Macaca fascicularis: one gene and its partners. Each later gene encodes a partner of the first gene's protein in a complex. Links are inferred from orthologs where the notes say so. Each region holds a gene or a part of one and is shown in the gene's direction. Other genes may lie near its edges. The genes, in order: ITGB7, FLNA and ITGAE.

Region 1 (9,921 bases):
CTGTGACCCCTCCCTTCTTCCTCCAATCCCCAGTTTGTATTTAGCTGCCAAATAAGATTCCCATTGGCTCCCTGTGTTCTCTTGGGGGGTCAGGGTACTGTCCCCTCCCCTCTGTTTACATCTCCCCTGTACCCCGCTGTATTGCATATTGCTGAGTTTTCTATTTTTGCAAAATAAAGTGATGGAAACTCATGGGATGTGGCTCCCTTTAGGAGGTGGTAGGGAAATGATCAGCTGACCTGGTGAGGAAGCTGAGTGAGTAGGGAGAGCTTGTAATTGATTGGACTTTGCAGCTTTCTTGGTAGAAGAAAACAGGATGAAATGTGCCTGGATTGCGGTGGGGACAGGATGGGGGAAAGGGAGCCATGGGGACTCACCCTGAGTGACCGGGTTTCCCACAACCACCAGGTGTGGGTTCAGGCCCATGCTGGAGTGCAGTGGCGCAATCTCGGCTCACTGCAACCTCCACTTCCCAGGTTCAAGCAATTCTCTTGCCTCAGCCTCCCGAGTAGCTGGAATTACAGGGGTGCACCACCACACCCAGCTAATTTGTTTAATTTTTAGTAGAGACAGAGTTTCACCATGTTGGCCAGGCTGGTCTCAAACTTCTGACCTCAGGTGATCCGCCTGCCTTGGCCTCCCAAAGTACTGGGATTACAGGCGTGAGCCACTGCATCTGGCCTGGTGTGGGTTCTTATGTTGGATCCTGTGGATCTCTGGGAGGGCATGAATGGACTTCACAGGTCTGTAAGCCTGTCCCCACCTCCAATTATGCATATGTGCATATCTGCTCTTCTTTGGGGAAGGAGTATTTTCTTTTCTTGAGACAGAATTTCACTCTTGTTGCCCAGTCTGGAGTGCAGTGGCGTGATCTTGGCTCACTGCAACCTCTGCCTTCCAGGTTCAAGGGATTTTCCTGCCTCAGCCTCCTGAGTAGCTGGGATTACAGGAGTGCACCACCATGCCCAGATAATTTTTGTATTTTTAGTAGAGACAGGGTTTCACCATATTGGCTAGGCTGGTCTCGAACTCCTGACCTCAAGTGATCCACCCACCTCAGCCTCCCAAAGTGTTGGGATTACAGGCGTGGGCCACCGTGCCTGGCCTGAAGTTTCATTTAGTTCTTATGAGGGTTCCTGGCCCCAGAAGAGAAGAACCACAACCTGCATCTAAGCTACAGTGTTTCTGTTTTACACCAGCCCCTCACCCAGGGAGCCCTCTGGCCTTCTGTCCCCACCCACCCTGCTATCACCTTATAGCTTACTCCCCCCACCCTCTCTGTTCCCACTCTTCACCCCATGACCTCCACTCACCGCCCCCTGCACTGTTACCTTCTCCGAATATCTGTCCTTGCTCCCACACACCTCTCTGCAGCACGCCTTTGCAGTGTCTTTGGCCTCTACTGTTGCACCCTGTACTCTTCCCTTCGCCCTCTGTGACTCCCCTCAAGCCCTGCCTCCGTGTTCTACCTTCCCTGGGACAGTGCCTTGCCTACCTTGTTCCTGGCTCTCTTCACTGGTGACCTGTGGATATGACAAAAAAGTTGAGGATGTGGGAGTAGGGGAGAGAAGAGTGGAGGGCGGAAAGCAGAAGAAGAAAGTGAAAGAAGCTCTAGAGGAAACCACAGGGCCTGTGGGGAAGGAGGGTCATTGCCGTGGTAAACCCTGGTTGTGGGGGAAGGGTATGGGTTCTGGCTACCCCATAGCCTGAGGCCGGCCAAGCCCACCCAGAGAAAGAGCCCCTCCTCTCCAATTGTCCCCTCCTAGCAGCTACACCTCTGCAATCCATCTGACATTGAGCACCTACTGTAAGATGGGCACTTGGCTAGGTGTGGTGGCGCCAGCAGGGAAGCCTGGTAGAGCCAGTCCCTGCCCACAAGGAGTGCTCCTTCTGGTAGGGGAGATCAACCTGTGAACACAGATCTCATGTCTAGTTCCCTCTCAAAGCTCTTAGTGATCTGTATGGTCCAGGAGCAAATCCCATTAATATTTTCCTACTCTCCCTACAGGCTTCATCCTTTCCTTGGCTTCAGCTATTGTTCCTGCACTCTGCTTCTCCCAGTTCACATCCTCCACCCCTTTCCCAGGCTCCACTACTGTCTTGGCTCCTGGCTCCCCAATCACATGCTCTGAGCCTGGCCCTGTGCCTCTCTCTTCCAAGTTTCCAGCTGTCTGGACCTTGAATTTCTCAAAGCCTCTTCACTTCTCACCTGTCACTTCTCATCCCTACTAATTCTCTTATCAAGCCCTTACTTAGTATGGGCCAGGTAGTCTTCTAGGCAATTGATATGAATTATCTCTTTTAATTCTCCCGACAATCCTGTGAGTCCTGCTTGACAGATGAGAAAACAGCTGCAGGTGGGGTTAAGTAATTCAGCTAAGATCCTTACTACAAGTAAGTAGTAGAGCCAGGATTTGAACTGTAGCAACTTGGCTCCAGAGCCTATGTAGTCAAGCACACTAATACAATGTATCCTGGGTTTTCAAAATGAACGAGTCTCTAACTTCCCGCCTCTCTACAGTACTTATTGCCTCTATTCCCTCCTATCATGTTCCTTCCTGTATAAGTTAATAGAGAGATCATGAATTTTGGAGGCAGGCAGACCTGGATTTAAATCCCAGACCAGCCGGGTGTGCCTGTAATCCCAGCTATGCAGGAGGCCAAAGTGGGAGGATTGCTTGAATCCAGGAGTTACAGACCAGCCTAGGCAACACAGCAAGACTCTGTCTCAAAAATAAAAACATAGGCTGGACACGGTGGCCCACACCTGTAATCCCAGCACTTTGGGAGGCCGAGGTGGGCACATCAATTGAGGTCAGGAGTTTGAGACCAGCCTGGCCAACACGGTGAAACTCCGTTTCTACTAAGAATATAGAATGCTGCCGGGCATGGTGGTGCACCCCTGTAATCCCAGCTACTCGGGAGGCTGAGGCAGGAGAATCGCTTGAACTTGGGAGGCGGGGTTTGGAGTGAGCTGAGATCATGCCATGGGACTCCAGCTTGGGAAACAGAGCAAGACCCTGTCTCAAAAATTAAATTAAATTAAATTAAAAATCAAAAAATAACAAAAATTTAAAATAAAAATCTTTTTTCTTTTTTTTTTTTTTTCTTTTTTTTTTTTTTGAGACGGAGTCTCGCTCTATCGCCCAGGCTGGAGTGCAGTGGCCGGATCTCAGCTCACTGCAAGCTCCGCCTCCCGGGTTCGGGCCATTCTCCTGTCTCAGCCTCCTGAGTAGCTGGGACTACAGGCGCCCGCCACCTCGCCCGGCTAGTTTTTTGTATTTTTTTAGTAGAGACGGGGTTTCACCGTGTTAGCCAGGATGGTCTCGATCTCCTGACCTAGTGATCCGCCCGTCTCGGCCTCCCAAAGTGCTGGGATTACAGGCTTGAGCCACCGCGCCCGGCCTTTTTTTTTTTTTTTAAATCCTAGACTAGCTACTTACTAGCTGTGGGACCTTGGGCAAAATTCTATATTTCCTGCTTCTAAGCCTCAATCTCTGCATCTGTAAAATTGGGACTTAGGAGAATATTAACCCCTATCTTATGAGGTGGTTGTGAGGGTTAATTATAGTATGTTACGTTCAACACACGACAGGAGTTCAATAAATGAGCTTCTTTCTTCCAGATCTCTGTATCATCCACTCCCTTGGCTCAGCCCCACCCCAATCTGCTCCACCTTCTAGATCAGTCACCCCCACCAACCCCAAATCTTCCCCACCCCAGGGAGTGTCACTTCCTCCTCTGCAGTCTCCCAGACCAGTACACAAAGGCTGCTGCCGCCGCCAGAGGAAGGGCTGCTCTGCACGCACCTGTGAGTACCAGGGCACCAGCCCTTCTGCCTCCTCTCCTTACAAGCCCAGGCCCACCTGGTCCCAACCTCTTGGGAAGAGGGCTCTGACCTGGATATCGAGGGTCCTGTCCAGACTTGAGAAAGGCTCTGAACTCCTTTCTGCATTCCTAAGATCCCCTGACCTGCTTCCCTCCTCCAGTTTCACAGCCCCCCCACCCCCACTTCTCCCAAAGCCCATCTCTCTTGCATCAGTTTCCCAACAGTGGGTCTGGAGGCAGGGATGTGTACGAGTGCTGTCATTCGAGTGCCTGCCATGTGCTAAGGATTATACTGAGGTAGGGTAGGTATACCGATTATACTGAGGGAAGGTTCTCCCAACACCACCCCAGCTGCCATCCCTAATGCTCTGCCTTCAGCTCAAACTTCTTCCTAATCGGCACCTTGGCCACAGACTTCACTCTCCTGGGACACTGAGGCCCAGCAGCTCAGTTCCGTTCCCTTGTTGTGACTCCCAGTGGGCAGCAGAGGGTTCTGCTTGACTTGGGAGGTATGGATGGGTTGGGAAGAGGCTCTGTTTCTCAGCTGCTGAGGGGGGCCACATGGTGTGTATTGGAGTCAGAATGGAGTCCAGAAAAATGGAAATAACCACTTGGTCCCAGGAAGAGAAGGGAAGACTGCAGAGTACCCCTAAGGAAAGAGAAATGGGATTAGGCAGAGCCCATCAGGGCTAGCGGAGACAGAACACAACTTTTGATGGAGATGGTACCCGGGTTGGAGGGAGGAAAGGAGGAAGCACAGCAGAGGTCTGGCCCTGCCCTGTCCTGCCCTGCCCCTAGTTCACTGGGTGACCCTGGCCTTGTGGGGAAAAGAAAGAGAGATCAGACTGTTACTGTGTCTGTATAGAAAGAAGTAGACATAAGAGACTCCATTTTGTTCTGCATTTGAGATGCTGTTAATCTGTGACCCTACCCCCAACCTTGTCCTTGCAAGAGACATGTGCTGTGGTGACTCAAGGTTTAACGAATTTTGGGCTGTGCAGGGTGTGCTTTGTTAAACAAGTGCCTGAAGGCAGGATGCTTGTGAAAAGTCATCACCATTCTCTTAATCTCAAGTACCCAGGGACACGTACACTGCCAAAGGTCGCAGGGACCTCTGCCTAGGAAAGCTAGGTATTGTCCAAGATTTCTCCCCATGTGATAGTCTGAAATATGGCCTCGTGGGAAGGGAAAGACCTGATTGTCCCCCAGCCTGACACCCGTGAAGAGTCTGTGCTGAAGAGGACTAATATAAGAGGAAAGAAGGCCTCTTGACAGTTGAGATAGAGAAAAGCATCTGTCTCCTGCCCATCCCTGGGCAATGGAACATCTCGGTGTAAAACTCGATTATATATTCTATTTACTAAGATGGGAGAAAACCACCTTAGGGCGAAAGGTGGGACTTGCTAGAGCAATGCTGCTCTTTATGCACTAAAAAGGTTTATGGAGATGTTTGCATATGCATATCAAGGCACGGCACTTTTCTTTAAACTTATGTCACAGAGATCTTTATTCATATGTCTTACTGCTGCCCTTCTCCCTACGATGATCCTATTATCCTGCCACTTCCCTTTTTCTAAGATGGTAAAGATAATGATCGATAAATACTGAGGGAACTCAGAGACCTGTGCCGGCGCGGGTCCTCTGTATGCTGAGCGCCAGTCCCCTGGGCCCACTTTTTCTTTCTCTATACTTTGTCTCTGTGTCTCATTTCTTTTCTCAAGTCTCTCGTTCCACCTAACGAGAAACGCCCACAGGTGTGGAGGGGCAGGCGACCCCTTCATGGCCTCATGGAATTTAGGTTTCCATTTGTGAAAAGAGTGGGATGGAGTGAAGATTCAGCCATTCTATAGTTAGGAACAGAGGGGAAAAGGAAGTAAAACAGCCCTATGAAGAAGTGGAGCAGAGAAAAGCAGCAGAGAGATGCAATAGAAGTTTTGAAATGAAAGGAGCCAGAGAGAGACAGAGAAGCAAAGAAACAGGTGGCAGAACATGTATTCCCAAGGAGGGGAGAAGAGAGGATAATTGGGAAGAAAGGTAGAAAACGGCTGTCCAGGGAGTCCCAGGGCCCCTTTTAAGGGGAGAAGAGTGGGCTTGAGATCTCTGAAAAACCTATGTGGCAGCTGGGGCTCCACTTGAGAGAAATGAGTCAAAACCGGGCTTTGGGTTGCAGCATCTCCAGCCTCCCTGACCACAGGCACGCAGAGCAAGCAGGGCTGAGGTTACACTGAGGCTGAACTGGGGCCGGCCTCTCCCCGAGGGGTGGAGCCTCCGTTATATATGGCACCTGAGGTCACAGGTGGTGGGGAGCAGCACCAGGATGTTCAAGAACTCAGCACCCCACCCCTTTCCCACACTCTGTGCAGAGTATCTGGAACTGACTCTGGCCCAGGCTGAAGAAGATGCAAATGGTTTATGACGAGGAGTTAGTTGGCCTTTCTCATACACTGCTGATGGGAATGTGGACCAGTACAAGCACCGAGGAGTTTATGTTGGCAATACCCACCAACATATATATACTTTTCTTAGCATGAGAATGTAGATGAAATACACACCAACATTGAAAATGATATCTATCTATTTATCCTGCACATCCTCTGCTAGGGATTTATCCTACAGGTTCAGTTGCACACGAGTGAAATGGTAAATACATGACATTTGGCTGGGGGAGGTGGCTCACGCCTTTAATCATAGCAATTTGGGAGGCCGAGGCGGGTGGGTCACTTGAGCTCAGGAGTTCTAGACCAGCCTGGGCAACATGGGGAAGCCCCATCTCTGCAAAAGAATACAAAAATAATTAGCCAGGCATGGTAGCATGCGCCTGTAGTACCAGTTACTCGGGAGACTGAGGTGGAAGGATCAGTTGAGCCGGCGAGGTCAAGGCAGCAGTGAGCCATGATTGCGCCATTACACTACAGCCTGTGTGACAGAGAAAGACCCTATCTCTCAAATGAATGAATGAATAAATAAATAAATAAATACATTACTTTTCATTTCAGCGTTGTTTGTCATAGTGAACTAGAAATAATTTAAGGTCAGGCACAGTGGCTCATGCCTGTAATCCTAGCACTTTGGGAAGCCGAGGCAGGAGGATCACTTGAGCCTAGGAGTTTGAGCCTAGGAGTTTGAGACCGGCTTGGGCAACATAGCAACACCCTGTCTCTACAAAAAAATAAAAAATAGCTGTACGTGACGATGTACACCTGTGGTCCCAGCTACGACGGAGGCTGAGCTGGGGAGAACCGCTTGAGCCCAGGAGGTGGAGGCTGCAGTGAGCCATCACGGCACCACTGCACTCCAGCCTGGGCAACAAAGTGAGACCTTGTCTCAAAAGAAAAAAGAAGAGACAATTTAAATGCACATCCTTGGTACTGATTAACTGTGATATGAGGTATCCATGCGATGGAAAGCTTTATGGCTGTAAAAGTGAACAAGGACGTTCTTAATTTTCTCATGTAGAAAGATCTTCAAGAAAAGTAGTTACAGGAGGCCGGGCGCGGTGGCTCAAGCCTGTAATCCCAGCACTTTGGGAGGCCGAGACGGGCGGATCACGAGGTCAGGAGATCGAGACCATCCTGGCTAACGCGGTGAAACCCCGTCTCTACTAAAAAATACAAAAAACTAGCCGGGCGAGGTGGCGGGCGCCTGTAGTCCTAGCTACTCGGGAGGCTGAGGCAGGAGAATGGCGGGAACCCGGGAGGCGGAGCTTGCAGTGAGCTGAGATCCAGCCACTGCACTCCAGCCTGGGCGACAGAGCGAGACTCCGTCTCAAAAAAAAAAAAAAAAAAAAAAAAAAAAAAAGAAAAGTAGTTACAGGAAAAAAAAGTGAAAAATTGTGTTTTCTACCATTTAAAGAATTGGGCCATTTGAGTCTACCATTTAAAAAGCATATGCATGTTAATCTGTATATGCATAAAACAATCTCTAGAAAGATTATAAGAAACAAAGATAGGTTGACTCATGCCTGTAATCCCAGCACTTTGGGAGGCTGAGGTGGGCGGATCACTTGACGTCAGGAGTTCGAGACCAACCTGGCCAACATGGCGAAACTCTCTCTACTAAAAACACAAAAATCAGCTGGGCGTAGCGGCTCACACCTGTAATCCCAGCTACTCAGGAGGCTGAGGCACAAGACTCGCTTGAACCCAGAAGGCGGAGGCTGTAGATCATGCCACTGCACTCCAGCCTGGGCCACAGAGTGAGACTTTGCCTCAAAAAAAAAAAAAAAAAAAAAAAGTAAAGAAAAAAGAAAAAAAATAGTAATAAATGATATTCATTTAAGGTAGGTGTGGAAACTGGGTATGGCATATGGGGTAGGATTAACTTTTTGATTTTTAAAATGGTAAGATACACAAACATTTATCATTTTTACCACTTTTAAGTGTACAATTCAGTGGCATTAAGTACCTTCACTAATTCCAGAACTTACTCATCACCCCAAAAATGAGACTGCCCATTAAGCAGTCATTCCCCATTTCCCCTTCCCCCAAGCTCTGGTAACCACTAATTTACCTTCTGTCTCTGTGGATTTTTCTAGTTTGGATATGTTCCATATGTGGAATCATACAATATGTGATCTTTCATGAATGGTTTTGTTCACTGAGCATGTTTTCTGCTAGTGTACAATGTTTTCCATGTTGTAGCATGTATGTATCAGTACTTCATTGCTTTTTTTAAAATTATTATTATTATTATTATTTTTTTTTTTTTTTTGAGACGGAGTCTCGCTCTGTCACCCAGGCTGGAGTGCGGTGGCCGGATCTCAGCTCACTGCAAGCTCCGCCTCCCGGGTTCACGCCATTCTCCTGCCTCAGCCTCCGGAGTAGCTGGGACTATAGGCGCCCGCCACCTCGCCCGGCTAGTTTTTTGTATTTTTTTAGTAGAGACGGGGTTTCACCGTGTTAGCCAGGATGGTCTCGATCTCCTGACCTCGTGATCCGCCCGTCTCGGCCTCCCAAAGTGCTGGGATTACAGGCGTGAGCCACCGCGCCCGGCCTTTTTTTAAAATTATTATTGAGACCCAGTTTTGCTCTTGTTACCCAGGCTGGAGTGCAATGGTGCAATCTCGGCTCACTGCAACCTCTGCCTCTCGGTTTCAAGCAATTCTCCTGCCTCAGTCTCCCAAGTAGCTAGGGTTACAGGAGCCCACCACCATGCCTGGCTAATTTTTGTATTTTTAGTAGAGATGAGGTTTCACTGTATTGGTCAGGCTGGTCTTGAACTCCTGACCTCAGGTGATCCACCTGCCTCGGCCTCCCAAAGTGCTGGGATTACAGGCGTGAGCCACTGTGCCCGCCCCACTTCATTGCTTTTTATGGCCAAATAACTTTCTGCTGTATGGATATACCACCTTTTCTTTATCCATTCATCAGCCAATGGACATTTGGGTTCTTTCCACCTTTTAGCTATTGTGAGTAGTGCTGCTGTGAACATTTCTGTACAAATTTTTGTTTGAACACCTGTTTTCAATTCTTCTGGGTATATACCTAAGAGTGAAATTGCCAGGTTATAGGGTAATCCTACGCTCAATTTATTGAGGAATCAAACTGTTTTCCACAGAGATTGTACTATTTTACATTATTTACACGGTAATATATAAGGATCCCAATTTCTCCGCGTTCTCATCAACACTCGCTGTTTTTCATTTTTTGATGATAGTCATTCTAGTAGAAGTGAAGTGGTATCTCATTGTGGTTTTCCTTCCTTCCTTCCTCCCTCCCTCCCTTCCTTCCTTCCTTCCTTCCTTCTTTCTTTTGCTTCGAGACAGGGTCTCACTCTGTCGCCTAGCCTGGAGTGCAGTGGCCCGATCTTGGCTCACTGCAGCTTCTCCTTCCCAGGTTCAAGCGCTTCTTGTGCCTCAGCTTCCCGAGTAGCTGGGGCTACAGGCATGCACCACCATGCCCGGTTAAGTTTTGTATTTTTAGTAAAGATGGGGGTTTCACCATGTTGCCCAGGCTGGTCTTGAACTCCTGATCTCAAGTGATCCACCCACTTCGGTCTCCCAAAGTGCTAGGATTACAGGTGTGAGCCACCACACCCAGATCAGTGTGGGTTTCATTCGCATTTTCCTAATGATTAATACTGTTGAGCATCTTT
Region 2 (9,657 bases), on another chromosome or scaffold:
TCTGAGGGTCTCCAGGGGATTCTTCCTGGGAAGTGCAGGCAGAGGAGACATCGTGGTGCAACCAATTCTAAGTCAAGAATAAGAAAACTGAGTTGCTCCTTAAGGATGGAATGGCTGGCAAGCAGTATATGTTGTATAACTTACAATCCCAACGTGACTGAGTTATGAGGAAAAAATATCAACATGGAAACATTCCTCAGTATCTATAACAAGTAGATGATTGTTCACTGAGCTGTTAACATTTTATTTTTATTTTTATTATTTTTTTCTGAGACAGAGTCTAGCTCTGTCACCCAGGCTGGAGTGCAGTGGTGCGATCTCAGCTCACTGCAACCTCCGCCTCCTGGGTTCTCGCGATTCTCCTGTCTCAACCTCCCGAGTAGCTGGGATTACAGGCGCCTGCAACTATGCCCAGCTAATTTTTGTATTTTTAGTAGAGACCGGGCTTCACTGCATTGGCCAGGCTGGTCTTGAACTCCTGACCTCGTGATCCACCCACTTCGGCCTCCCAAAGTGCTGGGATCCACTGCGCCTGGCCTTTTTTTTTTTTTTTTTTTTTTTTTTGAGACAGAGTCTCACTCTATCACCCAGGCTGGAGTGCAGTGATGTGATCTCGGCTCACAGCAAACTCTGACACTCAGGTTCAAGCGATTCTCCTGCCCCAGCTTCCCAAGTAGCTGGGATTACAGGCACCTACCACTGTGCCTGGCTAGTTTTTATATTTTTAGTAGAGACGGGGTTTCACCATCTTGGCCAGGCTGGTCTTGAACTCCTGACCTCGTGATCCACCCACTTCGGCCTCCCAAAGTGCTGGGATTACAGGCATGAGCTACAGTGCATATTTTTTTTTTATGTTTAATGACAGGGTTTCACTGTGTGACCCAGGCTGGAGTGCAGTGGTGAAATTATAGCTCACTGCAGCCTCAAACTCCCAGGCTTAAACGATCCTCCCACCTCAGCGTCCTGAGCAGCTGAGACTACTGGTGCATGTCACCACACCCAGCTAATTTTTATATTTTTGGTAGAGATAGTGTCTTGCTGTGTTGCCCGGGTTGGTCTCAAACTCCTGGGCTCAAGTGATCCACCTGCCTCAGCTTCCCACAGTGCTAGGATTATAGGCGTGAGCCACCATGCCCAGCCAATGTTTTCTTTAAGATCAGAATCTTCTTAATACTAAACAAACTTAACTTTCGTGTCCCCCTGAGCGGTCCTGTTTCTGCTGCCCACCCCAGGCCAGACCTGGCAGTGCCCGATCCATGGCAGTCAGGCTCATCCCAGGGCTCGGAGTCCTGCAGTCCCGTCCTGGGGCCCTGCCTGAGGTAGGCGCCCAGCAAATGCCTGCCACAACCTGTTGCCCCCACCCCAGGAAACACAATCCCGACTTGGGACAGACACCGGGGGGCCGTGACTGTGGGAGGCTCCTTGGAGAAGGTGGCCTTGGGCCTGGGCCTTTCCACCTGGGGTGCGCTTGGCTCCCGCAGACTCAGACACGCAGCATCCTTGTGATTGGGCCTACACATGAGCCCTGCAGACCCTGTGGGGGCTGGGGGCGACTCTCCCTGAAGTCCTCCCTCCCCCAGGGCCTGGTGGCCCTCGAGGGTGGTGAGCTTGCTACTGTTGGTGTAGCTGGTTGGAGATTCAGTCTTTGCAGCAGGAATGGAGCCAATTCCAGTTCTCTGCCATCTTCAACGTAGGGAGATGTCATGATCTTCACAAGGAATGACTGGTGTTATAGAAACCTTTGTTCCCACTGCAACCTGGAAAAAGTAGACTCAAAGAACTGCTTGTGTTTAGAGGGGGTGTGTGTGTGTCGGGGAGCGGTGCAGGAGTGGAAAGAGAGGGTTCAAATACAGCGGGGATCTTGAGACGCAGCCAAGCAGCCACTACCTCTTTCATGCTCCCTCCACCTGTTCCGGTGCCTGTGGGTGGGCGGGATTCCCTCCTCAGGATAGCCTTGGCTGTGATTCGCAGCACAGCTACCTCGAGGGCCTGAGCTCAGGTTTCTCATCTAGCAAGTGGCTTCCCCAGCAGGGCACACACACTGGATGGAGCAGCTGGAGATGAGCCCCTGGGCCTGTTGGGACATTTCCGCGGGGCTTCGGGGATGAAATGCCATTGCCAGCAGAGGCAGCAAGACCTAGAGGGCAACCAGTGCCTTGCCACAGTGTTAAACTGGGGATTGCAGAACTAAATTAGCAGGTGTGAGCAGACTCCCTTCTTCCCTCCCTCCCTCCCTTCCACCCTTCCCTCTTTGGAATAGAATAGAAAATAGCAGCCTACTCTTTGTTTCAAATCTGTGTGTCTGTGTGTGTGTGCTGGCTCACAGTGTCAACTGTAATTCTTATTGGGGGTTGTGGGCAAGATGTTACAACGGCACTGCTTTATGCGGCTTTCCCCAAGGAAGTGACATTTGAGCTGAATCTGAAGCTACCAGGAAATGGGCACATAGAAGAGGAAGAGAGAGCCTGGCAGTGCCAGGGCGTGGCTGTGACCGCCATGTTCACAGACACTTGGCTCTTTGGCTGCACTCCGCTGCACACTCCCAGGCTCTGGGACTGCCCCTGACTGTCCACCTGAGCGGTCCTGTTTCTGCTGCCCACCCCAGGCCAGACCTGGCAGCGCCCGATCGGTGGCAGTCAGGCTCATCCCAGGGCTCAGAGCCCTGCGGTCCCGTCCTGGGGCCCTGCCTGAGGTAGGCACCCAGCAAACACCTGCAACGACCTGTTGCCCCCACCCCAGGAAACACAATCCCGACTTGGGACAGATACCGGGGGGCCGTGACTGTGGGTGGCTCCTTGGAGAAGGTGGCCTTGGGCCTGGGCCTTTCCACCTGGGGTGCGCTTGGCTACCCCAGACTCAGACACGCAACGTCCTTGTGATTGGGCCTACACATGAGCCCTGCAGACCCTGTGGGCGCTGGAGGCGACTCCCTCCCCTCCGCCGAAGTCCTCCCTCCCCCAGGGCCTGGCGGCCCTCGCCGGCGGTGAGCTCATCTCGGGGGGCGGCGTCGCCTGGCGGCGGGTCGCTGGAGCTCAGGGCGCGCCCCCGCACCCCGCCCCCCACGCACCCGTCCCGGGCTCCTGGGCAATTTTACCAATTAAGGCTTTCTCGCCAGGCCGGGCCGGGCGCGGGGCGGGCGCGGGGCGGGGATGCGGCCAACAAGAAGGCGGGCGGCGGCGGCCCATTCGCGTGGAGGCGCGTCGCGCGCAGCGGACGCCGACAGAACCCCGAGGCGCCCGGCGCGGGCGCGAAGGCGATCCGGGCGCCACCCCGCGGTCACCGGCCACCGGTCGCTCTCAGGGACAGCAGGTGAGGTCTCCGCGGCCCGGCTTAGGGTCGCCGCGCTCCTTGTCGGCCGGGGGCGGGGTTGGAGAAGGCGGGCACAGAGGCCCGAGAACGCAGGCGCCAGCTCGCGCCCAGGTCCGGGCCAGGTTCAGCTGGGATGCGTGAGCCGATGGAGGCGCCCCTGACATCTGGGAGTGAGTGTCCAGAGAATGTCTTCCCTAGTTGACCCATGAGCCGTGTCTGTGCCCACGAATGTGGGAGCCTGAGGCCATGGGGGGGTCCCCTAGAGAAAGAGGGTGTCTGGGCACTTGCCAGGAAACTGGTGCCTGCATGGGTGCCCATGAACAGACTGCATGCCTGAGAGAGAAGGGCCCTGACACCAGGAACTTGTGTGGACTCAGGGTGAGTGGCCACCTGGAAGGACACTTCTCAGTCAGTGTGCCCACTGGGAGGGGGACAGCGTGTCCTTTGCTGGCTCGAGTCCACGGGACACCAGCTGCTTTGGGCAAAGGGGAGCTGGTTCTTGGGCTGCTGTACTCCATGGCGGCCATGGTGAGGTTGAGGCCAGGCCAGGTTCCTTGGTCGGGCCCTGGGCCATATCCCAGATTGGCTCTGAGCTGGATGCGCACTGCCAGCCAGGATGTGACCAGCAATGTCCCCAGATTCCCATGCCACCTGGGGCCAGGCAAAGTAGGTTAAAGTCCACTGGCAGACCCATTTGTAAGTGCTCTGAGTACACTGCCGAGGTGGGAGCTTGGGAATGGGCAGCCTCACCTGCCGCACCCAGACTTGCCAGCACAGGTCTCTTCTCACCTTGCCAATCTGCTGCTTCCTTCCCTCCTGCGCCCCCTGGCTACACAGGCCTGGAAATGGCTCCTTAGGGATCCCAGCTGAACAGCCCCTGGGCTTGGGCTATACCTCCCAGTGGGAGGGTCTGGCCTGGGGTCTGAGGGCCAGGGGTGGTGTGGTGGGCGGGGTGTGTCTAACATCCAAGAATCTACTCCAAATAAGGGAAAATATGAAAGAGCTGGATTTTGGCTTCCCAAGACTGCCCGATCTGGGGGCTCTGGGATCGGGCGACATCTGGCGGTGATACTATGTTCTAGGGACAAGAACCCTCTACACGCCCATTCCTTGTTTCCTCTAAATAGGGAAAAGCTAGGGCTGGAAGACAGGGCACCCATCTCCTGACACCCTTTCTGCTGGAATTGGCTACTGGTCACTCTGACTCAGTTTCCCTGAGCTCTGAAGATTAAGGAATGAACCCAGACAACCCAACTCAATGGCCCTTAGTGGAGAGTAAATTCTCGATGGAATTCCGTGCCTGGGAACTTACTTTCCATGGGGCAGGGGGACCAGAAGGACAACTTCAAACCTGTCTTGAATGGGGCCTGGCAGGGAGGGATCTGTATGGCTCCCTCCTTTCCAGTCCTCCCTCCCACCTCCACTCCAGCTCCCAGACGCCCAGGTGCACTTGGTGCAGGTGTGTCTCAAAGTCGTCAGGAGAGGAGACAATATACAGGGGTTGGCCTCAGTACTGGAAAATGCCATTTGCACCCCCTAACACCACCACTAGTGGGAAAAACCAGTGGGGCCACAGGCAGCCCCAAGTGAATGTGCTGGGTGGATCACACACAGCCTGACCACATGTCATGTAGACAACTAGGGCTACAGGAGAGTCAACCATATTTGGGCATGACGTGCTGGCCAAGCCGGAGCCTCCTCCTCTCACTGGTCTTTAGCAGATAAATTAATTATTACTAGAATTGAGCAGGAGGGACAGATACCTGCCTTCCTAGAAAAAAATACTCAGAGGAGGAAACATTACGGAGAGGGGAGGTACCGAGGACTGAGAGAGGGAGTGCATGCTGGGGAGGAAGCCATAGGCAGGCTGGCTTCTGGCTGAAGATAGTAGCAGTGAGCATCCCCAACAGTTCCCTGGTCCCAGTCTACATCTCAGCACAGCAGCCGCTGCACCATCTCCAGAGTTATCTACCAGAAAATTTTGAGTGAATAGCCCCCACTGCTCTGGGGACACAACACCCCAGGCCCCTGATCCTTGTCCTCAGGCCTCCTCTGCACCTGCCACCACACCCGAAGCCCACCCAGACCCAGGTGTTCAGAGTCTGACAAGTCTTATGGGAACCGCTGAGCAGGCCCCTCTGGGTCTGGAATGCCACTCCCGTTTGTCCCCTGGCTGGCCATGCTGGGCTCAGGGGCCTTTCCGACAGGAGAGGACCCCGGCTTCAACTCCCCCCAGTGCCCCGGGTGAACTGGCATGAATGATTAGGCGGGCACACGTCTCTGCACACATCGCACGGCACCCTCTGCCCGCGCCCACTGGCGTGCCCGTTGGCACGCCCGGACCCCTTCAAAGGTTGCTTGCTCCTGGAGTGTCGGCGGCCTCCTGGCCCAGTGCCCCATATCCTCCCGGGTGGAGGGAAGCAGAGAGGGAGGCGGTGGGAAGCAGCGGGCACAGGTGCGCAGGCGAGGGCCCTACAGACTGGGAAGGCAGGCCCGTGGCAGGGGGTCTGCGGGGACCGCGTAGGCGCAGGCCTTGCCCTGCAGCCGCTTCCCAGGTGATGCGCACACAAAGGGCCCTCGGCAGTGCCTGGTCCGGGGCCGCCGCTCTCCAGGGGTTCGCTCTTAGGGTTGGCCCCTTCCCGCCGCTGCCGGGGCGGCGGACCGGGATGCCGCCCGGGAACCCTAGGCCCTGGGGGCCCGGGGAAAGGGGATGACGGTGGGAGGGTAGGGTTGTGCAGGGACGGGGCAGAGCCCAAGTGACTTAGGGACGAGAACCACCCCACCCCTCGCAGGAGCCCTGGGGAAGGAAAGTCCCTTGTAAGGCGCGCCGGCTGCAGGCCAAGCAGTCCCGCGCCAGATACTGCTCAGCCTTTCCTCGCTCTGGGGCGCGTTTCCTGCAGCGCCAACGCGAGGCCGCGGGGCTGGGAGCATCCTTGCCCACTCCAGGGCCCAGCGACCCACCCCGGAGCCCGGGTTTCACGTCTGATCAGCCAAAGCCCGGGGCCTAGTGGGGGCATTCCAACGGGCGGGGCGGGGTGGGGCAGTCGCGCCCCCGAAGCCCCACCCCACGGCCCCTCCCCGCAGGAGGCCCGCCCCCTGGCCCCGCCCTCCGCCCGCATTTAAAGGGCTCGCTCTCTCCGCAGCGCAACCTCTGCTTCCTTCCTCGCCTCCCGCGCGCCGAGGTGCCTGCGACTTTAATTAAAGGGCCGTCCCCTCGCCGAGGCTGCAGCACCGCCCCCCCGGCTTCTCGCGCCTCAAAATGAGTAGCTCCCACTCTCGGGCGGGCCAGAGCGCAGCAGGCGCGGCTCCGGGTGGTGGCGCTGACACGCGGGACGCGGAGATGCCGGCCACCGAGAAGGACCTCGCGGAGGACGCACCGTGGAAGAAGATCCAGCAGAACACTTTCACGCGCTGGTGCAACGAGCACCTGAAGTGCGTGAGCAAGCGCATCGCCAACCTGCAGACGGACCTGAGCGACGGGCTGCGGCTCATCGCGCTGCTGGAGGTGCTCAGCCAGAAGAAGATGCACCGCAAGCACAACCAGCGGCCCACTTTCCGCCAAATGCAGCTTGAGAATGTGTCGGTGGCGCTCGAGTTCCTGGACCGCGAGAGCATCAAACTGGTGTCCATCGGTGAGGGACGCCCCGAAGCGCCGGGCGGGCGGGGGCGGGAATTCCGTGCGTCCTTCCATCTCCCCGGGCGGACCCCTCCAAACCACCTCCTTCCGGGCTGCGGCGCAGCTCCCGAGGCCCCCGGCTGGTCTGCTCCACGCGGGCCTGGAGAACAAAGGCGCGCGGGCTGGCGGGCTGGCGGGCTGGCCGGCCGAGCGTGCGAACCGCTACGCGCCCCCGCCCGCCGCGCCCCGGCTGGCCGGCGCCCAGGCTGAACTCACCATCCTCAGCAGGCCGCGCCCCCGCAGATGTGCTCGCGGTGGGAGTGGGCCTGGGGGGTCGGGCACTGGGCAGGCTCTGGCCCTGCGCCCCATCCTCGAGGAGGAGGAGGCCCAGGCTCTCCCCCCACAGCTGTTTAGAGAGGGCCCTCTGGCTTCAAACTCCCCTTGTTTCTAAAGTGTGGGTTGGAGCTCGTGCGTCCCATTGTCTAGGACTCTGGGCTCTTTCTGTCCCTGGAGGATGCGTCGCCCATCGGAGATGGCTCCAACCACCAGTTTAGATCTACCTCCCCCACACACACAGGGAACCTGGGGGCCAGAAAGAAGCGTAGTTAGCAAAACTGTACCCGGAGTTGGGCGTGGTTGACTGAGGGACCTGGCTTGTAGACTACTTGGACGCCAACTTTTCTGTTCATCTTGGGACAAATTCTTGCTTCCATGTTGGCCTTGCTTTTCTGCGTATAGCACGCAGGAGTTGGTTGGTAGATGCTCCGGCGTGCACTGTGCCAGCCCAGTGTCTGTGTCACTGGACTGGTGAGGCTGGCATTGACCAGGCCTGCTGCAGCATCCCAGTTCTTTCTCAAGATAGGGGCTGCTTGGAAGGGCAGGCACCAGAACGGGTGACTTGGGGGTGACGTTGAACAGGGAGAGGAGAGGGATGATGATTCTTCTCTTCTTCAGAACTGAGAGGCCTTCCAGTTATCCCTGCAGCTCTGGAATGGCCCTTGCTGAACCCAAGAAAGTGAGGGACCAAGACTTGGGTTCCCCCAGCCACTCAGAGGGCAGATCCCAAGAATTGAAGTTCTTTCTTTGGAATGCCAGTTGAGGCGAGGGGCAGGCCCACCCCCCCAAGTCCCAGCCTCAGTCTAGCCAAGCTGAGTCATTTCAGAGTCCTGGATGGTGTGTGTGGGGGGGGGCGACCGGATGTGGGGAGGCGGGCCACACCCCAGTTCTTTGGCGGGGGTCTCCTCCCTCCTCCCAGCTCCCCTCCTCCTTGTGAGCTGGCTGGAGCAGGCCTAGTTCCCAGAGCTTTGCCATATAAGGCAAAAAAATGTTGGAAAGCAGCAGTGATTAGGGGAGGGAGGGGCTGGCTGGCCCGGGGGCTGGGGAAAGGGGGTGGGATGGGGCGGGGCCATCCAGCCAGGCAGTCTCCCAGCCCTGGGCCCTGGTCCTTCACACTCTCTTTTGGGAGGGGGATGGGGACGGAGTAGGTTGGCCTAACATGGACCTGGTGGGCCTGGTTGCTCCCGGTGTGGGGGTCGTTAAGGGGTCTCAGGCTGGATTGGGGTGGGGGCCTGATGGGAAGCCCTGGCTGGCCTTGTTCCCTGGCCTTGCACCCTCAGTCCTCTCTGAGCCCCTCTCCCCGCTGTCATTTAGGGAAAGTGAAAGGCAGCCTCGTGGGGCCAGGACCAATCTGGGAACTGGGGAGGCCACTCTACTTTGAGCGGCCCACCTGGCCCTCCAGGTGCTGCCTGCTGGGCTGGGAAGCAGCTGCCGTGGACGGCCCAGCCCCTCCTCATAGACCCACCCCCTAGTTGACTCACCAGAGAAGTATTTTGTCTGATTATGGGAGAGGCTGACAGAGCTTCTAAAGATGAGCTCTTAGAAAGCCCAAACCATCCTGCCTTGAGCCTGAGACCCAGAAGTAGCTTTGGGTGGGGCCCAGAGCCCAGCAGGGTTGCCATGGCAATGGGGGGTGTCGGGGACCCGCCCTAACCACTTCCCCTGTGGCGAGCCTGCCGAGGCCCAGGCCCGTTAGGTGGCAAGTGGATCAGGCAGTGGGTGGCAAGGGGGTTCCCACAGTGTCTCCTGCTGCCAGCCCGGCATCTCCCGATGGGCCCCAGTGAGTCAGGGCCATGTGGCCCAACTGCTGGTTCCTTTGGGCTCTGGGCCTCTCCCCTGGCCGGGCCTGTGGCCTCCCAGCTCCAAGCTTGGGTCTTCGAGGTGGTAGAGGAAGTGGAGGTGGTGGTGGGGGTCACACTCCTTTACCCAAAGGGTGTTTGCCCAACTCCCCCACTTCCCCTGCCTCACCCCACCCACCCTGGAACAACAGTTGTATTTCCCAACCACCCAGGGCCACCCGTCTTCCTCTTCCTCAGCCCCAGCCCCACTCCAGGCCATGGGCCCTGGATTCTGGGCCAGCTGGAGCCAATCTCCTCCTCCTGGTTCCCCATAGGCCCCTGAGGCGGGTGGCAGACCCCTGCTCTGGCAGCTGTGGACACTGTCCAGCTGTTCTCCAGAGCTGACCATCTGTGGGCTGGGTCTGCCCTCTGCCCTTCCTCTGGGCCCAGGGCTTCTGGCAGTAATCATACCCTGCTATCATCGCATGTCTGTGGGTATCTCCCCTTACCCCAAAGTCTCCTTTACTTCTGAACGCCCCCTGGGATGCTGGGCAGAGAGGGCCTCATCCACATCCTACCACTGGTCAAGACGGGGTGTCTCCCTCCTCCTTGGCCCCC
Region 3 (9,205 bases), on another chromosome or scaffold:
TATAGTTCCAGCTACTCAGGAAGCTGAGGCAGGAGGACTGCTTGAGCCCAGGAGTCTAAGGATGCAGTGAGTCATGATCACACCACTGTACTCCAGTCTGGGTGACAGAGTGAGATGCTGTCTCTAAAAAAGAAAGAAAAATAATAGCACTTACCTGGTAGATTTTGTGGCGGTTGGATGGGTTAAAATATACAGTGTTGGCCGGGCGTCGTGGCTCACGCCTGTAATCCCAGCACTTTGGGAGGCCGAGGTGGGTGGATCACGAGGTCAGGAGATCAAGACCATCCTGGCTAACACAGTGAAACCCCGTCTCTACTAAAAATACAAAAAAATTAGCTGGGCGTGGTGGCGGGCGCCTGTAGTCCCAGCTACTCGGAGGCTGAGGCAGGAGAATGGCGTGAACCCGGGAGGCGGAGCTTGCAGTGAGCCGAGATGGCACCACTGCACTCCAGCCTGGGCGAAAAAGTGAGAATCCGTCTCAAAAAGAAAAAAAAAAATTATATATATATATAGTGTTTACAGCAGTGTCTGGCACATGATAAACGCCTGGCATATGATATTATCTATCATAAATGATAGATAATAGAGTATTAGCTATCATTTTAATGTCATTACTCTTCCTGTATGCACACAAAAGGAAGAGACTGCCAGCCAGCACCTTTCTGCTGGGAGCAGGTGAGAAGCAAGAACACCTGTGTTACAGCCCTCCCTCTGCCTAGCCTCGCTGTGTGACTTAAGGGGGCATCACCCCCTTCTTTGGGTCTTTTGGGAGGATTGTGAACCCTCCCCATTCTAATACAGGTCAGAGAATGAAGTCTCTCCTGGAGGCGGTCATGCCTCTGGCAAAGCTCTCTTCTTCCTTTACTCTCCCCTGCTCAGAGACAACATCTTCACCTCAAGCCACGGCTCCAGAAGAAAGGCATCCAAGGTCATGGTGGTGCTCACTGATGGTGGCATATTCGAGGACCCTCTCGACCTTACGACAGTCATCAACTCCCCTAAAATGCATGGTGTTGAGCGCTTTGCCATTGGGGTAAGAGCCAGGAGCCGGGAGGCCCCTCCTGACCCTGCTCAGCCTGGGGTGGGGAGGAGTCAGGGTTGTAGATGGGGGCTTCTCTGTAAGCAGCTTATCCAGACCCTGTTCTGTTCGCAAACACTCCCCTTCTCCCCATGCCCTGTCATCCCAGAGAGGGCCCATTTCCCCATGGTGGTCACAGCTTCCTGGCCAAATAGTGACGGGAGAGCCCACAGGAAACGCACCAAGGAATGTTCCTGGAGGACCGTGGTGCCGAGCTGAGTCCTGCCAGACAAATGAGAGTAGCTGCTTAGGGCACAGGGGAGGCAGAGAAGGCCCCGCAGGCAGAGGGAAGGGGAGTAGCTGCTTAGGGCACAGGGGAGGCAGAGAGGGGCCCCGCAGGCAGAGGGAACGGGAGTAGCTGGCCTAGGGCACAGGAGAGGCAGAGAGGGCCCTGCAGGCAGAGGGAACGAGAGTAGCTGCTTAGGGCGCAGGGGAGGCAGAGAGGGCCCCGCAGGCAGAGGGAAGGGGAGTAGCTGCTTAGGGCACAGGGGAGGCAGAGAGGGCCCCGCAGGCAGAGGGAAGGGGAGTAGCTGCTTAGGGCACAGGGGAGGCAGAGAGGGCCCTGCAGGCAGAGGGAATGGGAGTAGCTGGCCTAGGGCACAGGGGAGGCAGAGAGGGCCCCGCAGGCAGAGGGAAGGGGAGTAGCTGCTTAGGGCGCAGGGGAGACAGAGAGGGGCCCCGCAGGCAGAGGGAACGAGAGTAGCTGCTTAGGGCGCAGGGGAGGCAGAGAGGGGCCCCGCAGGCAGAGGGAACGGGAGTAGCTGGCCTAGGGCACAGGAGAGGCAGAGAGGGCCCTGCAGGCAGAGGGAACGAGAGTAGCTGCTTAGGGCGCAGGGGAGGCAGAGAGGGCCCCGCAGGCAGAGGGAAGGGGAGTAGCTGCTTAGGGCGCAGGGGAGGCAGAGAGGGGCCCTGCAGGCAGAGGGAACAGCATGTGCAGAGGTGAGGAGGGGCTCGGTGTGTTCAGGAGAACTGGTGTACTTTGGTAAAACTGGAATTTTGCCCAGAGTGTGTGTAGAACAGGGAGCAGGGAAAGGAGGAGAAAGGAAGAAAGGAGGCAGGTAATGGAGGGCCCCAGAGGCCAGGGGAAGGGGCTCAGCTCTCTCCCTGGGCCTGGGGAATCCCCGTGGCGCTGACTCGCTGACCCAGGCCCCCTGTGCAGGTGGGAGAAGAATTTAAGAGTGCTAGGACTGAGAGGGAACTCAACCTGATCGCCTCAGACCCGGATGAGACCCACGCTTTCAAGGTGACTAACTACATGGCGCTGGATGGGCTGCTGAGCAAACTGCGGTACAACATCATCAGCATGGAAGGTGAGGGCTCCAGGACCCACGCCACCACAGGAGACCCCAGCCTGTGCTCTAGCCCCGCCTCTGTCCCATCTTCATGTGGTTTCTTTGAGCAACTCCCATCATCTCTCTAAGCCTCAGCTGTTCCATGTCTAAAAAGGCAATGGCCGGGTGTGGTGGCTCACGCCTGGAATCCCAACACTTTGGGAGACAGAGGCAGGTGGATCGCTTGAGGCCAGGAGTTCGAGACCCGCCTGGGCAACATGGTAAAACCTTGTCTCTACTAAAACAAAAATTAGCTGGGGCCGGGTGTGGTGGCTCACGCCCGTAATCCCAGCACTCTGGGAGGCCAAGGCCGGTGGATCACCTGAGGTCTGGAGTTCAAGACCAGCCTGGCCAACATGGTGAAATCCTGTTTCTGCTAAAAATACAAAACAATTTAGCCGGCCGTGGTGGTGCATGTCTGTGATCCCAGCTACTCAGGAGCCTGAGGCAGAAGAATCACTTGAACTTAGGAGGCGGAGTTTGCAGTGAGCCAAGATCGCCTCACTGCACTCCAGGATGGGTGACAGAGCAAGCCTCCGTCTCAAAAAAAAAAAAAAAAAAATTAGCCAGGCGTGGTGGTGCGTGACCTGTATTCCCAGCTACTTGGGAAGCTAAGGCAACAGGTCACTTGACCTTGGGAGGCACAGGTTGCAGTGAGCTGATATTGAGCCACTGCACTCCAGCCTGAGCAACAGAGCAAGACACTGTCTCAAAAAAAAAAAAAAAAAAAAAAAAGAAGGCAACAATATCTCCAACCTCCTTGCGTCCCAGAATCTCCATGAAGTTCTGATGAACTGAGCTGGTGCTGGAGAAACAAGGATGACTGGAGCGTAGTCCCTTCTCCCAGGAGCTCCCAGACGAGGAAACTGAGGCCTAGAAAGAGAGAGCGAACTGCCCAGACAGTAGTTGCTCAAGGAGAACCTGGGTCTCTACCTTCAACCGGGTGCTCTTCCTGTTACACCAAGCATGGTTCCCTGAGGCCAAGCTGGACTGTCCCCTGCCTCCGTTTCTCCCTTCACCTCCGCCCACAGCAGTCTCACTGGGCTTCTTGGCTTGCAGGCACGGTTGGAGACGCCCTTCACTACCAGCTGGCACAGATCGGCTTCAGTGCTCAGATCCTGGATGAGGTATGTGGCTGACTCAGCACCAGGCAGGCTCGCCCGTTGGGAAGGGGCCCAGAACACCTAGGATTCAGGGACTCCTGCCTCCCATCCAGAGCTCTGCTCTCCCTGTGATGATTCCTCTAAAAGAGCCATTTTATTTTACTTATTTATTTATTTTGAGACGGAGTCTTGCTCTGTCGCCCAGGCTGGAGTGCAGCGGTGTAATCTCGGCTCACTGCAACCTCCGCCTCCCAGGTTCAAGTGATTCTCCTGCCTCAGCCTCCCATGTAGCTGGGATTACAGGCACCTGCCACCACGGCCAGCTAATTTTTGTATTTTTGGTAGAGACGGGATTTCACCATGTTGGCCAGGCTGGTCTCGAACTCCTGACCTCAGGCGATCCACCTGCCTCGGCCTCCCAAAGTGCTGAGATTACAGGTCTGAGCCACCACGCCGGGCCTGAAAGAGCCATTTTAGGATAAAGGGAAATATTTCTGCCTGCTCATCTTAATCTGGACCACTGAGATAGACAGAAGTGTGGCCATATTGATGACAGGAGGTGGATTTTTTCTGTGTGCTCAAACATCCAGTTGCTCCCCTGAATACAGACCAGTCAACAGGATTCGGCCTGGGTCAGCCTACCAACCAAGCTGCTTGCTTCTCCCGGAGGCGGGAGTGCAAGGGCACGAGGCAGGAGCCCAGGGTTGGCCATCTCACCTTCGCACCTGCATCTCTGGCCAGACGGGCACTAGGCCACCGAACGCCCCCCTTCTCCCAGCCAGGTTAGCCGCGCTGGCCCAGAGACCCGCTGCCACCGTGGCCCGGCCCTGGGTCCCTCCCACTCATCTGGGCCCCATCCCCGTCCCCTTCAGCGGCAGGTGCTGCTCGGCGCCGTCGGGGCCTTTGACTGGTCCGGAGGCGCGCTGCTCTACAACACACGCAGCCGCCGGGGTCGCTTCCTGAACCAGACGACGGCGGCGGTGGACGGGGAGGCTGCGCAGTACAGCTACCTGGGTGAGGGCGGGGCCTGGGGGCTACCTGGGTGAGGGCGGGGCCTGGGGGCTACCTGGGTGAGGGCGGGGCCTGGGGGCTACCTGGGTGAGGGCGGGGCCTGGGGGGCTACCTGGGTGAGGGCCGGGCCTGGGGGGCTACCTGGGTGAGGGTGGGGCCTGGGTGCTACCTGGGTGAGGGCCGGGCCTGGGGGGCGAGGCTACCTGGTGAGGGCGGGGCCTGGGTGCTACCTGGGTGAGGGCCGGGCTTGGGGGCTACCTGGGTGAGGGCCGGGCCTGGGGGGCGAGGCTACCTGGTGAGGGCGGGGCCTGGAGGCTACCTGGGCGAGGGCGGGACCTACCTGGGCGAGGGTGGGGCCTGGGGGCTACCTGAGGAGCGAGGGGCCAGGAGACTACCTGGGTGAGGGCGGGGCCTGGAGGCTACCTGGGCGAGGGCGGGGCCTGGGGGCTACCTGGAAGAGGGCGGGGCCTGGAGATTACCTGGGAAGGACGGGGCCTGGAGATTACCTGGGTGAGGGTGAGGCCCAGATGGGGACACCGAGGCTGCGCATTGGGCTGTACTTGAGGTTTCCAAATGGGGGCGAGACCTGGTCGGTCACATGGGCCGAGGGGCGGGCCCTGGTTAGGGACCCTGAGGCTGAGAATTACCGCCTCCTGGATAGGGACAGGGCCTATCAGGTACACCAGGCAGAGCAGCCGCCCACAGGAAGGCGGGGCCTCTCCATTAATAATAGTGGTGCAGTAGCTCACGCCTGTAATCCCAGGAGGCCAAGGCGGGCGGATTACCTGAGGTCTGGAGTTCGAGACCAGCCTGGCCAACATGGCAAAACCCTGTCTCTACTAAAAATACAAAAATTAGCTGGGCGTGGTGGCAGACGCCTGTAGTCCCACGTACTCAGAAGTCTGAGGCACAAGAATCTCTTGAACCTAGGAGGTGGAGGTTGCAATGAGCTAAGATTGTGCCACTGCACTCCAGCATGGGTTATAGACCGAGACTCTGTCTCAAAAATAAATCAATAAACAAAAATAATAATAGTGGTGGGCAATCCTCTCACACCTCTTCTCAGTCCCCCTAGGGTGTGTGTGTGAGCGTGGGTAGTAGATGTGTGCGAACGAGTGTTTTGAGCAAAGCTGCATACGTGACAGTGTGTGCATCACTTCTGTTGATGGGGATGTGTGTGACTGGTAAAGGGAGAGTGTTTGCTGGTGCAGATCTTTAATATAGTGAGAAAGACAGTCTCTCCTATTTTACCCCCCTCCCCAGGCCACTTTGAAGGCCTGACTGGGAAGGTGCCGGGGCCAAAAGAGAGGCCAGGTGGGAGCACACGGTGTGTTCACAGCCATCCCACCCTTGCCCCAGGTTACGCTGTGGCCGTGCTGCACAAGACCTGCAGCGTCTCCTACGTCGCGGGGGCTCCACGGTACAAACATCATGGGGCCGTGTTTGAGCTCCAGAAGGAGGGCACAGAGACCAGCTTCCTGCCAGTGCTAGAGGGAGAGCAGGTACCCACTGGGGAAAGCTCCCACCCCTTTTGACGGATGGGGAATCTGAAGGCCCCAAGGGAAAGGGGTGGGTCCCAGGGTGCACAGTGGGCCAGGGCCCAGGCCGGGTAAAACTCAGGCTCCTGAGTGGAGCTCAAGGGCTCTGCATGTCTGATTGCTACACAGTTTCCTCCGCTGTGGGGCCTGGACTGCTCCTCCGCTCTCCTGTTACTCTCAGTGAGCAAACTGATATGTAACGACCCAAACCGGGTGGTCCAGGAAGCACGTGGGCACAGTGTAGCCTTGCTGAGGGGTGGAGGAGTGGGGCTCCTGGTGAGCTGAGTTCCTCCCGGGCTGTAGATGGGGTCCTATTTTGGCTCTGAGCTGTGCCCTGTGGACATTGACATGGATGGAACCACGGACTTCTTGCTGGTGGCTGCTCCATTTTACCATGTTCATGGAGAAGAAGGCAGAGTCTACGTGTACCGTCTCAGTGAGCAGGTGGGAGAGTCTCCATCTTCATGAGCTTGATAAGGCTGTGGCACTCAGCCTGGCACAGAGGTGATGGAGGCTGGGAGTGCCCTGGCTCTGCCTGGCACCAGTGGGCAGTGATGGGGAGGTGCTCAGGCTGGATGGCGGCTGGGCAGGGCAGCGGCATCTCTCTCCGCACCCACTTTCTTACCCAAGGGCAGTCGTTGATAATATCTGTAATATCTCTTTTCGTTGTTGTTGTTGTTTTTGAGGCAGAGTTTCGCTCTTGTCGCCCAGGCTGGAGTGCAATGGCGTGATCTCGGCTCACCGCAACCTCTGCCTCCGGGGTTCAAGCGATTCTCCTGCCTCAGCGTCCCGAGTAGCTGGGATTACAGGCATGCACCACCACGCCTGGTTGGCTAATTTTGTATTTTTAGTAGAGACAGGGTTTCTCCATGTTGGTCAGGCTGATCTTAAACTCTCGACCTCAGGTGATCCACCCACCTCGGCCTCCCAAAGTTCTGGGATTACAGGCATGAGCCACCGCGCCCAGCATTTTTTTTTTTTTTTTTTTTTCTGAGACTGAGTCTCACCCTGTTGTCCAGGCTGGAGTGCAATGGTACAATCTCGGCTCACTGCAACCTCCACCTCCTGGGTTCAAGTGATTCTCCTGCCTCAGCCTCCCAAGTAGCTGAGAATACAGGCACCTGCCACCACATCCAGCTAATTTTTGTATTTTTAGTAGAGATAGGGTTTTGCCATGTTAGCCAGGCTGGTCTCGAACTCCTGACCTCAGGTGATCCACCTACCTCGGGCTCCCAAAATGATGGGATTACAGGCCTGAGTCACTGCGTCCAGCCGATGACATTTCTTACAGCTGCATGGGTGGCAAAGCCCATTTAGTCCAGGATCTCATTTGTTTCTCACAGCAACTATGGGAGGTAGCTGCCACTCTTATCTTACGGATGAGGAAGCTGGGGCTCGGTGAGCCTGTGATGCTGAGACTTGCTCAAGTGTACCTAGCATGTATGTGGCAGAGCCGCGAGTGGAACCCAGGCCTCCCATTTGCAGCAATGCACCCCTGCCCATGGAAGTAGAGGGGGGCAGGCTCTGAGTCCTGAACTTCAAGGTGGGAGGACCCCAGCTTTCCCCTCGTGCTGTGTGATCTTGGGAAAGTCCCTGGCCTTTTCTGGGGCTCAGGCTCCCTGCTGGAGAATCAGAATCCACCAGCCCAGTGAGCGTGCATCCTGGGTGGCCATGGAGTGGGCACCTAGCGCCCCTTCTTGGGGGCTGAGCTGTTTGCTTGCTTTACAGGATGGTTCCTTCTCCTTGGCACGCATACTGAGTGGGCACCCCGGGTTCGCCAGTGCCCGCTTTGGCTTTGCCATGGCGGCTGTGGGGGATATCAGTCAGGATAAGCTCACAGATGTGGCCATCGGGGCCCCCCTGGAAGGTTTCGGGGCAGGTGATGGTGCCAGCTTCGGCAGTGTGTATATCTACAATGGACACTGGGACGGCCTCTCCGCCAGCCCCTCGCAGGTGACCCATGGGGCCCTCTCCTTCCTCTCCTCTGGGGCTCTGACCTCTCCCAGATATGATGACCAAGCCCCAAGTCGACTTCAGTCCTAAGTGCTGGGCAGGTCTCAGGGGGCTGGGAGTGCCCAGTGGAAGAAAGAAGTCCCTCAGGCTGGTGGGAGGTTCCAGACCAGGGCCTCAGCTCAGCCCCTTCAGGTTGAGGGGAGGTTGTGGCGGTACCTGTCTCCTTCCCTGGCCTATACCCTCTCCTTCCACCCACCTGCCTCGGGTCCCTGCTTCCTCTCTTTCTGTCCCTCGCTCCTGTCTCCCACCCAGCCACCTCTCTGCCTTATCTCTCATTCCCCAGGGCTCCCTCGCCAGCCTCTCACACTGCATGTGTTACGGGTACTTTCACCCACCTGCAGCTCCTCCTGAGAACCTCCACCTGGATGGCCCCAGGCATCTCACTCCTGCCCGTGTGGCCCATCTGAGAGCACCTGCTCCCCCAGACCTGATGCTCCTCTGAGTCCTCATCCTCCTCCACCCCCAACACCAGAAACCTCAGAGGGTCCCCAGCATGCTCACACCCTGCACAGCTGTCAGTCCCCACGTCCTCATGATTCTAGCTGTCTCCCAAGTCCAGCCCCTTCTCTCCATCCCCACCGCTGCAGTCCCAGTTCAGGCCTTGCCATCCCTCTCCCAGCCCACCCAGCTTCCTCCTCCCCTCCATCTCCCACCCCATATCTTCAGTGCCATTTCTAAAGTATTATCCTGATTATGTCGCTTCAAAAAAACAGAACCTTTGTTGACACCCCCACCCCCAAGCCCCACATCAAGCCTCCTTGTACCCCAATCCCCTGCGGTCCACCCCGTCCCTGGCCCTGGCTGCTTCTCAGAGGGTCCTGCTCTTTCCCCATGCCTCACTCCCTTACTCTCCCCTGTCAAGTCCCACCTGCCCTTTGAGGCTCCACCCAAATGCCACTTCCTCTGAGAAAGCTTGCCCCCTCTTTCCTGGCTCTAGACTGGGGAGGGGGGGGCTCCCTGGGGCTGGATGGGGCCTGCAATGCTGATTGGTATAGAACATGAAAGAACTCCCTGCTCCATTTCCCTCCCTTCCCTCACCCCACGCCTTGTGTTTCTGCCTCCACAGCGGATCAGAGCCTCCGCGGTAGCCCCAGGACTCCAGTACTTTGGCATGTCCGTGGCTGGTGGGTT

Evidence for each region.
Region 2: the proteins of ITGB7 (region 1) and FLNA are in contact, whole or in part, in a crystal structure (PDB 2BRQ), measured with the Homo sapiens proteins. The link is inferred for Macaca fascicularis from reciprocal best matches to the Homo sapiens genes ITGB7 and FLNA. Residues at the interface, in NP_000880.1 of Homo sapiens: Pro776, Leu777, Tyr778, Lys779, Ser780, Ala781, Ile782, Thr783, Thr784, Thr785, Ile786, Asn787, Pro788; in NP_001104026.1 of Homo sapiens: Thr2263, Gly2267, Ala2268, Gly2269, Gly2270, Leu2271, Ala2272, Ile2273, Ala2274, Val2275, Glu2276, Gly2277, Pro2278, Ser2279, Lys2280, Ala2281, Ile2283, Phe2285, Phe2311.
Region 3: the proteins of ITGB7 (region 1) and ITGAE are in contact, whole or in part, in a cryo-EM structure (PDB 8ZJF), measured with the Homo sapiens proteins. The link is inferred for Macaca fascicularis from reciprocal best matches to the Homo sapiens genes ITGB7 and ITGAE. Residues at the interface, in NP_000880.1 of Homo sapiens: Val201, Leu202, Pro203, Ser206, Thr207, Val208, Pro209, Ser210, Lys211, Arg213, His214, Cys216, Pro217, Arg219, Leu220, Glu221, Arg222, Leu255, Asp256, Ser257, Pro258, Thr291, Phe292, His293, Thr294, Ala295, Gly296, Asp297, Lys299, Leu300; in NP_002199.3 of Homo sapiens: Phe36, Leu38, Arg91, His92, Arg93, Gly94, Leu111, Arg113, Leu118, Ser119, Ser120, Leu122, Glu196, Glu198, Arg230, Tyr233, Glu234, Phe237, Glu238, Cys239, Asn240, Ser259, Gln260, Val262, Met263, Leu266, Arg300, Leu401, Gln403, Phe406.

The regions. Positions count from the first base shown.
Region 1 is NC_088385.1:59,997,405-60,007,325, reverse strand, and holds the start of ITGB7 (integrin beta-7), read left to right. Parts: upstream 1-3,761; 5' UTR 3,762-3,811; intron 3,812-9,921. UniProt on the Homo sapiens protein: Integrin ITGA4/ITGB7 (alpha-4/beta-7) (Peyer patches-specific homing receptor LPAM-1) is an adhesion molecule that mediates lymphocyte migration and homing to gut-associated lymphoid tissue (GALT).
Region 2 is NC_088395.1:160,355,718-160,365,374, forward strand, and holds the start of FLNA (filamin-A), read left to right. Parts: upstream 1-3,187; 5' UTR 3,188-3,309; intron 3,310-6,452; 5' UTR 6,453-6,568; coding exon 6,569-6,941; intron 6,942-9,657. UniProt on the Homo sapiens protein: Promotes orthogonal branching of actin filaments and links actin filaments to membrane glycoproteins. Anchors various transmembrane proteins to the actin cytoskeleton and serves as a scaffold for a wide range of cytoplasmic signaling proteins.
Region 3 is NC_088390.1:3,801,205-3,810,409, reverse strand, and holds part of ITGAE (integrin alpha-E), read left to right. Parts: intron 1-879; coding exon 880-1,033; intron 1,034-2,237; coding exon 2,238-2,388; intron 2,389-3,468; coding exon 3,469-3,536; intron 3,537-4,384; coding exon 4,385-4,526; intron 4,527-5,882; coding exon 5,883-6,025; intron 6,026-6,364; coding exon 6,365-6,505; intron 6,506-7,404; coding exon of another isoform or gene 7,405-7,501; intron 7,502-7,789; coding exon 7,790-8,014; intron 8,015-9,140; coding exon 9,141-9,205. UniProt on the Homo sapiens protein: Integrin alpha-E/beta-7 is a receptor for E-cadherin. It mediates adhesion of intra-epithelial T-lymphocytes to epithelial cell monolayers.